2 linked regions of the Xenopus tropicalis genome follow. The protein of the gene in region 1 purifies or fractionates together with the protein of each later gene. This does not show direct contact. Links are inferred from orthologs where the notes say so. Each region holds a gene or a part of one and is shown on either strand. Other genes may lie near its edges.

Region 1 (6,031 bases):
TTATGTTTTCATCCCTTGAGTCAATGCCCTTTTTTATACAAGACAGCACTTTATTTGCTTTAGTAGCCACTGAATGACACTGCCAGGAATTAGTAGATAGTTGCGTTTATATTATTCCTACCAAAGTGCATAACTTTGCACTTATCAACATTGAACCTAATTTTCCAGTTTGCTGCCCAGTTTTCCAAATTTTGTCAAATCACTCTGCAAAGCGGCAGCATCCTGCATGGAACTTATAGATTTGCACAATTTAGTCGTCAGCAAAAATAGGGACAGTACTCTATGTCCACCTACAGGTCATTATCCGGATTCTTTATATAATTAAACACGGACACACTCCTGATTATCTTTTAGTGTTCTATTTGGACTTTACCACTTTTATCACATTCTTATTATAGTGGGTGTGTATATCCCCATACTTTATTTGATTTGTATACAGATATCAGGTCAGTCTGGAGTACCAAATAGGTAGGTATTTCCTTGCACCTCTCCCTTTCCTTTTCAGTAGATTTTCATTTAGATTTTATAATAATGACTTGATATACAGTATGTGAATAAATGCTGCTGCAGTAACACTTCACAAGCCTGGCATACTTCACAATAACAGAAGGGAGGATGGGTAAATATGATCAGCTTCGGTTTTATATAGTACCCCTTTATAGGCAACACGTCCGTTTGAGTAATTATGAGAGGAGAAAAGCATTCAGGGCCCTTGTCAATCTGTGAACCCTACAAATGTAAGGAAGACCCAGTTCATTTTTATCTGGTGGGTGTTTAAATTCCCACTATTTAATAGATTAGGTGTGAAAGGGATTAGCCTACATTGCTTCTGCTATTTAGGCCCCCCCTACAAAGGTATTAAGGAGAATTTGCCAGTTTTCCCCAATTCAAGGGTGTAACCAAGCACCATAGATGCTGTGTAGCAAGATAATAAGTCTAAACTTCCCATTCATATTAACTGGTGTTTATCAGTGAAACTTACATGGGCAGTAAGTGGCACGATACAAGGGAGAGGAGGACTGTGTGTGGGCTCCAGATTATGTCCAGATAATTTTTGTACCATGGTGATCGGTCATTTTGGTCGGATAGTGATAAAATCTATGTATGTATTGGGTGACCTACAATGCATTTCCGGAACGTCACTTTCGTACGATTGATGTCTGTTAGTTATTTTATGTTCAGAACATCCACCAATTTGTTACTTGTTATCCTACAATTTCAATTTGAATGTTTGAAGACTAAAAGAAGAAGACTAAAATATGAACATGTATGGCCACCTTATAGGACAGGTTTGAAAAGTCTTATGGGTGAGGATCAGATTTGGGTGTTGATGTTGTCCTTGCCTGATGAACCCCCCCCCCCACAATCCTGCAGTATGATGTTATCATTGGCTCCCAGACCAGTGACAGGATCTCTCCAATTTACAGCATTTAGGTGGGCAAATCTGGCATGTTGCATTTAATATGTCTGGTATTAACCCTTTTAATGCTTTAATGTTGTCCCTGGTCAGCTCTTTAATCTGTACTGCGCTGATGTTAATGTGCCAGCAACCTGTATAGATCAAAGAGGTAACTGCCACCACTAATAAGGTTAAATTGATTGGCACAGATCATTGCAAACCTATATTTTTTGATAATTTTCTGCCCACCATTTTACAACATGTAATAAAATCCACATGCTGCAAAGAAACTAGGGCAGCTTATTAGTCATGCATCATGAGGCTTTCATATATGGCTCTAGATTCATTAGTCGGCAAATATGTGTGTTTGTAAATATATATATATATATGTGTGTGTGTGTGCGTGTGTAAATAGTAAAGCACAGTGGGGGCAGTACAAAATAGAGTTTTGCCCAGAGAGAATAACAGGTGTTTATATATTCCCATAGTGTTTATTATAGAACATGCTGCACTATATGTATTGGGTTGGAATAGCCCCAGGTACATTTCACATCTAAAACATGTAGTGCATTATCTTCTATAATAAACACTATGATGAATCTGTTTTATGTATTACATATATGCACAGACGATGGGGGGGGGGTCTTTTTTCCTTTGTAGAAGTGCTTGTAGGCTTCTGTATTTTGTTGATCATTACTGGGAGTACTCAGTATGGATCTTCCAAAATAGGGCTTTTATGCAAGTGGGATTCTTTGTTGGACATTGCAGTAAGACTCCTCTTCAAATAAGTGAACTATCCAGTCATTGTAACTGTGGTATTTACACGAGGGGCAATACTATGTATGAAGTATTTAGCAGTGCAGATATATGAAGAGAAGAATACATTTTGGCCCAGTTTATTTTTGCTATCGTTACCTGGTCTTGGCTGGCAGCTGCGCCTTAAAGTAATGGCCATAATTCTGCAGCAACAGAATGCAGTTCTATATTATTATATGAATATCATGTGACCAGTTTGCAATGTATAAAAACCTCCTGATTGTCAAATAACTTCATTTGTTTTCAGAGACACTAATTGGTTTCCCACTGCTCTTGCAAAAGAAACTCTATTGACCTCGATAAGTACCATCCATTTCATTTAATGTCATTTTCTTTCTAGCCCTGGCCTTATGAAATCAGGCACTTGTGTAAATCAAGTGAGTTTAAAAAGCTTGTATATTGTATAATTGTCAGCCTGTGTATACTCCCAGTGGCTGCAATGCTGCTGCAGAACACACACAGCCTTCCCGGGAAGCACACTACCCAGGCACGTCCATCATTTGGCTTTTAAATACAAATGCTTTAAGGCTGGTCTTTTCAACAAGCTGATGAGTCTCAGGCAAACCCATATTGCTTTCTGTGTGCGCATCTGTGCCTTCCTCATGACTACCCTTAGAGAATATCCTGTCTGCAGAGATTTTTCTCTTTCCATCCAGTGATTCCCCCTTTCTGTAGTGCATCCTTCCCAGTCCGGCTTGGTACAGCAGAAACATGTTGTGAATTCATTTTGCTGAATGAGGCTGGCCTTGGCTGCGACCACTAGCCCCGCTAGAGACATGCTGAAGAGTTGTAAATGAAACACTCTGTGATGACAACTGCACAACGGTAAGTCTGTGTTTATTAAAAATATGCCTGCCTTTTCGTTGTCGGTAGCCTTGGGCTGTATCGGGAATAGAAACATCACGGGCTTTTAATGATTCGGATCACACAGCTGCTTCTGTGCTTGTCTTATTCTCAATTATTTAAAAGAGTAGTAGGGATTCTGCAAAATATGTTGATTTAAATACAATCCCGGAGGAATACACATGCAAAAAACCCTCTTGGTCATCCCTGCCTGCATACAAGTATTATATATTATTATGGAAAAAGCAAACAAATGAGGAGCATTAAGCTTAGAAAGTGTTTTTTTTTCTTATTGTTGAGCAAGGAGGCTAATGTTTCACCGGTTCTGGTGCTCAGCTTTCTTGCCCTTTGGGAGAACTAAGTGTGGGATGGATGTGACCACTCTTTCCTTTCTCATAATAGAAGTGGCCCAGGTTTCTGCACCCACAGTGGCTCTTAGGACTAGGGACTTTAATGATTTCCTATAATTTTGCAGCATTATTCATCTGGCAGTATGAAAACTGATGCAGGAATGATATATTCCGTGCTGTGTGCTTCTTCCTGATTCATGGCAGCTGCATCTTGCCTTTCATTATAGTAAGTACAAGAGTCATGGAAATAAATGTTATTCAGGGGGATGCGTGGATAACTTCACCCGAACAGATGATTGCGAATGACAGGATGATGTTGCTTAGCGCCATATAATGTGGCACACAGTAAAAAAAACAAATATGGAATATAAGGATACAAGATGCAATAGATTTGGCAAAGTATAAAGAGAAGCATAAAAAATTGATTATTGGAATGATTGTTCTAATAATAGGTTCTGCTTTGAGTGGTTTAATGGACCATGCAACAATGTGATGGGAGAGTTTCACTTTAACCCACCCAGGGTCGAGCATACATTCTTACTGCCAGAGAATTTACATCATCTCCCCATGCTCTGTAATGTGCAGGCCCTTCCCTCCTGCAGGCATGGAACCACTCGCCTCTCCGTGCTTTCTATTAAAGGAAGCAACCAGGAATGTTTGCTTTTATTTCTAAAAATTCCCTTGTTTACATGTTAGGATTCATTCCCAGAGTGCAAAAAAAAAAAACAATACTGCTTTTATCAGATGTGCATATTCCCAGTGAAATCATTTTGTCTGTAGGAGAACAGATTTTCATGTTATGGGAACATTAACTGTTTCAGCTTGACTGTGATGTGCAGCCTACTGAGCTGTCGGGCGGAATCATGCTATCAGCTATGTGCCAGCCTTTAAGTGGGCCTTGAACATAGAAATACTGTGATGTAGATTTTGGTAGTTCTTGTTGTGCCTTAATTTTATTATACAGAAGTGTGGGATATGAAAATAATACTACAATTGAAGTCATATTTTGTATGAATTTCTTACATTAGATAAGCAGGAAAATACAGAACAATTTCTGTTCCACTTACCGATAGGTTTCAGCCACAGGAATATAAAGGTTCATATTTGGACAATGTACCAAACTGCATACCCAAGTAGCACTATCCACTTTAAAATATACATACATACACAATTCGGGGTACCATAGTACCACACATTGGGCCCATGTGCCAGATGGACGGAGAGAGTACAAGGGGATACACATGGTACAACTACCTTGCAATTGTTCCAATCGTTAGTTCAGAGGGCACAAATGATCACAGAAAGTAAAGAAGAGCTGCGGTTCTTCACTTTTTAACTGCAGATACGCCATGGACTGGCTAACACGGTACAGATGACATTACATGTGGGGGCATTTACTAATTGGGGCACCAATTATTCAAAAGCCCTGAAAACTCAGAATTGCATTAAGGCTGTCTACAATAGGATCCATTTGAAATGAGAATTAAACCGCCCCCCAAACCCCAGTCCCCCCTCCCTGCTAACTCTCTGCACTATCTATTACATTAAGAAAATGTCCCTATGTGTGTACCTGCTAGAAAAACGCAGAGTTGCACAGCGTGGTTGATAGGCGCCATCTTGCACTGCTTTGGATGCATTTCTTTCAATCCACTGACGTGGAGCCTACAGGAGCATGTACAGTTGAGGCTGATTCCTGACCTAGTTTCAAATGTACATGCTCCTGAAGGCTCCATGTTGGCGAACTGACAGAAGATGATCTGAAATGAAGATGGCGCCTGTCAACCACACTGTGCGACTCTGCACTTTTCGGGAAGGGTGGCTACTGGCAGCGGATGAAGGGAACCTGGGGTTTGGGGGAAGGGTTGAATTTTCATGTAAGCAAGTTATTCTAATTTTTGAAAATGATTGACTTTTTCTTCATAATAATAATACCTAACTAAGCTGAATGAATCCATATTGGTGGCAAAACAATCCTATTGGGGTTGTTTCGTGTTTAAACGATTTTTAGAAGACTTAAGGTAGGGTGATCCAAATTACGGAAAGATCCTTTATCGGGAAAACCCCAGGTTCTGTGCATTCCGGATAATAAATGCACCGATAAAGGCACTAAACATTGTTTCATATTTTAACATTGGCATGTCAATGGCCAGCTTTATTGAAAAATGTGCTCAAAGATTTTTTTTTTCCTTTTGTGCTAGTTTGCTATCTGGATTAATTGGAGGCATGAAATCAATATGTCTCAAGTCAAAGAAACGTAATTATGCAAAGGTAAAGAGTCTTACCCATTTGCTGATAAAAATATCTAATCCAACTATGTCTAGTGTTCAATAAATTCTAATAGTATTTATTTGTATAAGGATCAACAGTTACATGAGCTTTTAATACTGATAATCTAATAAAATCTGGAAGCTCAGTATCATTTCTCCCCAAAATATAACAAGGTCAGGTAGGGTAAAGAGGCTAATAAAAATTTAATTTCTGCAGCTTTCTTATAGAGAACTAAACCTTAAAATGTGCAAGAATTTGTTGTTTAGCACTAAAATCTGCTCCTTGTGCCAGCACCCAGGCCATTGCAGTGGCTCTGTGTCCAGTCATTATGGTAGACTATTTGGTTGCTAGGGTT
Region 2 (6,190 bases), about 9.3 Mb from region 1:
AATAGCTGAATGAATGGATATTTACCAGCACAGAAACAGTATATTTATACACACGCTAACCTCTATTTATAACCAGAACCTTCACAGAGCCTAATACTTGTGAAAACATTATATTAAATATATTTGCTATCATCTTCCCTAGTTTAATAATATTCTCAGGGGGGATGCTTGCTGTTTGAGGAGGAATTGCTCTAGATGATCAGACTACAAATACAATCCCCAGTGTTTGAGCAAAAAACGATATTAGGCAATTGAAACTCCCAGAGCAGATTTGTAAAAAGTGCCAAATACTAAGGGAATTCCCCGTCAGCCTTTTTCCCAGTACTGCCTCCATCGATTCACTGGGCACCGCTGTTGCTCAGCGCATGAGTCCGTTAGCAATGCGACTTTGAGCTGCTCACTGCTTCCTTTGCATTTTTATAAAATGCTGAGACAGTTTTCTCAGAATCGCCTCCCAGTATTTACTGAAAGATACAAAAAATAAAACCAATGACCAGGCACTGGGCTTTTAATTGGTTCTGTTTGGTCAAAGCAATTACCATTCTGGTCTATGGAAAAAAAACAGCTTTTTAGCAATATGAATGCATTTAATTACCAAAGGACGGCAGCATTGGGTCTAATTGTAAAATAGAAATAGAAATACACACCATATATATTTATTAAAAACTGTGACTTAAACTGGATATATTGAACTCCATTCTCAGCAGGTGGAAAAGAGTGTTGGTCAAAATGCTCCAATTTACTTCTCCTACTAATCTGTAGGGATCATTGTTGTGCATTGAGCACTCATAGTGGTGACAGGTGGCCCTCTGCACAAAGACACACTCACTTGAGTTATTCTAAGTGGAGGTCCATCTGTCACCGCTATGTGTGCTTAAGGCACAGCATTTCCCTGAGATTAGTATGGGAAGCAGTGACATGAAGAGAGGGGTGTTTTGACCGCTGCTGTATACCCCTCTCCCCCCCCCCCCCCCCCCCGATTTGAGCAGTGGTGTAATATACAAGGTGCAGAGAAGGGGGGCCGTTCAGAACCTGTTAAACCTCCCTCGTGTCCCACTATTGCTTGTTCTTGCACCTGCATGTATTTTTGTAAGACGGGTGCACAGGGCGGCAGAGGTAAAGAGTAGTGATGAGAAGGTCCAACATTTTTCAGCCTGTGACCTAACCCTTACCCACTGCTTCCCAACCCGCATCCAGCCAAAAGTCTTTCCTTCTGATTAATGACAGATAAGCAGGATCATCAGAGCCGAGACATGTATGGGTATGGGACCTGGGTTATTTCTGTAATTTAGAGCTCCATTTCTTAAATCTACTAAAAAATAATTTTAACATTAAAGGGGACCTGTCACCCTAAGAAATAATTCCAAATCCTTTTGAATCAGGTTAGTAGAGCAAAATAAACTTTACTTACACTATTTCAATTATTGAATTTATTTTTCCCTCCAGTCTTGAAATTAGTAGTCATAGCCAGCAGGCCGGCGCCATTTTGTGTGCACTGTTATTAAGGCAAGCTATGTATCACCCCAAAATCATATGCATTTGCCATCTGGGTGATGTATAGTAAGAATCATACTAGAAGAAACAGGCAGGCACATCTGGGATCCCTTTTGCGTCAGTCAATTTGTTCAAAAAAGCAGCTTGTATGTTAATAAAAGTATCAAAAATGTATTTATTCCATAAAAATAATAACAACTGCAACAGCCTTACGCGTTTCGTACCTACCAGGGTACTTAATCATAGGCTCATGATGTATAGTAAGTGCTGAATGGAAAGTTAAAGTAATTGTTATTAAAAATCTAAGCTGTCAATCATATATTGCCTGCCCCGCCTCTATCCCTGCGGCATAGAGGCGGGGCAGGCAATATATGATTGACAGCTCAGATTTTTAAATACATTTATAACAGGTATGGATGATTTAATTAAAAAAAAATTGGGTTTCATGTATTCATGTGTACCAGCTGCCAATCATAATACATAGAGGGCAGTAAAACTGAAAAGAGATATATGTATGGAATTACTACACAGCCAGAGAAGCAAAAGGAAATAAGCCCCTGCCCCAATAGAGCTTACAATCTAAATGGGCGGGTGCTTTCTCTGTGCCAAAGGGTTACAGACTAAAAAGCCCCCCTTTTGTTTTTATTTGTAACTCCCTGCAGCCACTAGGGCCATGCTGGTTGAGTTTAGCCACCTGTGTTGAATTGTGGTATTCACACAAAAGAGAAAAGTAAAGTCAATTGCGGCGTGGTGAAATTGTGCTATCATCAAAATCTGAAAGCAAAGTCAGTAAAGTGATAGTTCACTCCCACACAATCTGCTCCCTTCCCGCTATTAGACTTATAAACCGGAACTTTCCTTTTCCTGTGTAAACGGAACCTTTTCTCCTGTGTCAGCGGAACAATTTAGCAGTGCGCCGCTCTGGGCAGGGAGAGCTGTGCGTCGGCGCTAGCTGCCAGTGCTAGGGCGGAGCTTGATTCGAGGGAGGGGCTGCTGCTTGTGCTGCTGTGTGAGGGCTATGCAGGGAGACTGATGAGGAGGCAGCGGGCAGGGGAGATGCCTGGTTCCTGCCTCCAACACTGGGCACTATGGAATAGAAGGGGCGCTGCCTGCTGAGCCCCCTACACGCTCTTCCCTTCCCTTATGGAGAGGGGCTGTTATTAGCTGCTTTGGGCTGCTCCCCACCCGGGGGACTTGCAGTCTGTGCTACCATTCCTCATTAACGGAGAGAGGAGAGGCTGGGGGTGCTACAGAAGGCTGAGATCTGAGAGGGGCTGCGCTGCTGAAGCCCCACCATGGGGAACACCACATCCTGCTGTGTCTCCTCCAGCCCCAAGCTGCGCAGAAATGCCCACTCCAGGCTGGAGTCGTACCGGCCCGAGCAGGACATAAGCAGAGAGGACACTGGATGCAACCTGCAGCACATCAGTGACCGGGAGAATGTAGATGGTAAGGGGGAACCTGGGGGGCACAGGCTGGCACACATGTGCTATTCTTATAATTGCATTGGGGGTGGGGTTGGCACTGCCATGTCAGTGTGGGTACATCAGGCATGGCACAGAGGGCATTCACCCTGGGCTCCCACACTCACAGGGGGAACATATGTACAGCATGTTATATAGTGTAATCACTCAGATTGTAAGCTCTGGGGCACAGGCACTGCCTTATGCTTCTTACACTTAGCACTTACTGTATTTTGCTATTACTGTATTTATATTCTATTGTTGTATTGTTCCCCATCTCTTCTATTTATGTATTGTTTTACTATATAGTGTGCCTGTGCAAGTCCCACTGAATATATAGAAATATATTTCCGGAATATATATATATATATATATATATATATCAACTCTGCAGCTATTGTTGAACTCGCTCTACAAACCCCTGGCAGCCCATTGTACATGGAGTTCCCTGGGATATCAGTGCAGTTCAGTGGAGATGAATGGGGGTGTGCTCTGTGATTTCCTAGTGTCATTAGACCCAGGCCTCTATATTGGAATTGCATGGGTACTGCTGGGATCCGTTGTGACTGGCTTGTTTCATTGTCTGCCTTGTTAATGATCTGCCTTGTTAATGAGGCCTGGCACCATGTGATCTGTCAGAAAGTAACAATAAATAGGTACCATAGTGCCGTAGGCTGACACTTAGGCAGAGCAGCACTGGGTTTTGCAGCCTTTGTGTCCCAGCTGTGTCAGTGGCAGAAGGAGGAACTGTGCCCACATGAGGATGCTCTTAAAGGAGACATATCATATACAAATTAAGAATGTACCAGTGAATTACACTCCTCTAAATATAGAAGGATTGTGCTTAAAAAAGTTGTGTTTTGGACTTATTTATTAAGAAATTCCACCAAAAGCCCACTAGTCCCACCCCTTCTGTTCCACTTCCTGCTGGCTGACTTCTCTGGATGTGCAGGGGGGGCTGGAGGCTCTCAGTACAAGACACTGTAGGATAGGAACCAATTAGCAACTAGGCTGACCTGATAGGGAACTGAAGCCTGTCTTTAGTTGTGTTAGTGCAAGACTGTGATTGGTTGTCCCCCTCCTACTGTGCTTCTGGCAGGAACTGTTAGGACACACCCACCCTTCATTTGAAACAGGGACAGAGACCTGATAGGATCTATAGGGAGCTCCAATAAAGGGGCCATTTTTACTTATAGGATTAATTTTTAGCCCAAAGTGAAACCAGCACCATATATTATTCATAATTGCCATCATTTATCCAATATGTCTCCTTTAATCTTTATGTGTCGCTTACCTGTACTCTGTTGGTTCTGACCAATCTTTTGCTAGGGTTTAGTGGATTTATTACCTTGTGTTCATATTCAGTGCTCATGCATTACTGCCATTCTGCTTAGCAATGATAAATGATGGGGTTTTGTACTGAACTGTATGCAACATATTCTGTAACTCTTTACAGAGATTATATTAGACATCATTCCCTGGTTATGTAAACTAAGGTCCCTATCTTATTTGCTATGGTCAGTTCATAATAGGAGCCAGGTACCTTGCCTCTTTTGAAAGGAAACCAGAATACAATGAGGAAAATCATGCAGCTGCGGAGAGAACATACAGACATGCTTCAGAGAGTGCCCTGACTGGAATTGAACCTAGAACCCCAGGTCTAACCATGGGTACCCCTCAGGTCTTGGGACCCTGCTTTGGTAATGACCTTTACAGTAGGCCTATTAGTGTATGTGCCACTATGTAAGTGCCACTATGCTTCAGCTTTTAATTTTTCCATGTGAATCTGTTTGATACAAATATAAAGAGCTGAACTGACTAACGGCTAGAGCATGCTTTCTACTGACACAAGTCATGTACCTACCAGATAGTGTTCAATTACTATTGCAAGAAGCTAGGTGGGAAACCAGTATTATTCAGTAGAGGGCTAAATAAACTTAGTCATATACTGCAGACTCTACGGCAAGGGCTCCATGTGTTTTCCTATATAGAAAGAGAACATATATCTATGGCAGTATAAATATTCCCCTATATTAATTATTAGAGATTATAGTGGCCCTTAAATAGAAAAATGAATGCATTATAAATACTGTATGACACCGAGGCTTGTTCAGTTGAAATGTGCAGAGTAGTTGTAATAAAGGGATCCATTAAATCAGTTGCTCTTGCAATTACACATTTCTGGGTCTAGTGTTTACTGGGCCCTGTGCAATGTATTAGCAGCTTCCACTTTGGTCCGGTTGAACAGAGGGCAGTTTTATTCCAGGGCTGTAACCATTAGCAACCAATCAGCAATAAACTTTCATCAGCCTACTACAGGGTAAATTATAAAAGCACATCTCTAATTGGTTGCTATATGTTACTACACTTCGGCAAATTCCTGGAATAACATATCCAAAGACTTCACTACTTGTGTGGCCTAGCGATGTACAGTAGTTAGCAAGTGTTCCACTTCCAGCTTGCATCATTTACTGATAAATTCTTAAGAGATGTTCCTGGCATAAAACTTGTTTTCCTTTTAAATGGTACTGCTAGTGAGCATATTTTAGCTGGCCGCTCCCTCCCTTGCGTAAAATGCATTTATACAAATAATCTTTGTATGCGGTAGCCAGGCCCTTATACTTTACTGTCTAACTGCTAATAAATTAAAAATAAATTTGACCTCTAGGCATTATAATATCATTAAGAGGAAAAAAGTGGTTTGTGTTTGTGTATTTATTGCATAATCTGTTTTATTGCATTATAATAGGCTGACCAGATCACCCCTTTTAGCAAACTGCAAACCCCTTACTTGCTGTGTTTACAAGTAAAATGTAGCAGTTTCTGCACGTTTGGGTTTATTGTAAAAAAGCGCTAGAAAACCAGCCTGTCTCTTCAGTAAATTAAATAACAGTACACTTCAGTAAATTAAATAAAATAACATGAAGGAATTAACCTTAAAGATCAAGTAATACACTGTGTCTGTGAAGGGATAAAGTAACCGCTGGAAAAAATATAAAGTTACCAACAAATTCTGTGAGATTATAAAAACACAGCAGCATCATTCATAGAACTTGCTGGTAGGATTACAATATCACTTGAACATTCAGGGACACTTCCAGAAAATCAAGCTATAAGGGTGAAGACACACAGAGCTACTAGTAGCAGCTAATTTTTCAAGGCTACTAAACTCCAGAAAATACCCTGCCATAGACAATACTGAGAATTGCCTCTGCTAAAACACACATAGCGAC

What was found.
Region 2: the proteins of cdk14 (region 1) and ccny purify together in Homo sapiens (affinity purification with western blotting; 3 studies listed by BioGRID and IntAct, with this or other methods). This does not show direct contact. The link is inferred for Xenopus tropicalis from reciprocal best matches to the Homo sapiens genes CDK14 and CCNY.

The regions. Positions count from the first base shown.
Region 1 is NC_030682.2:30,950,551-30,956,581, forward strand, and holds the start of cdk14 (cyclin-dependent kinase 14), read left to right. Parts: upstream 1-2,668; 5' UTR 2,669-3,040; intron 3,041-6,031. UniProt on the Homo sapiens protein: Serine/threonine-protein kinase involved in the control of the eukaryotic cell cycle, whose activity is controlled by an associated cyclin.
Region 2 is NC_030682.2:21,608,103-21,614,292, reverse strand, and holds the start of ccny (cyclin-Y), read left to right. Parts: upstream 1-2,388; 5' UTR 2,389-2,789; coding exon 2,790-2,943; intron 2,944-6,190. UniProt on the Homo sapiens protein: Positive regulatory subunit of the cyclin-dependent kinases CDK14/PFTK1 and CDK16.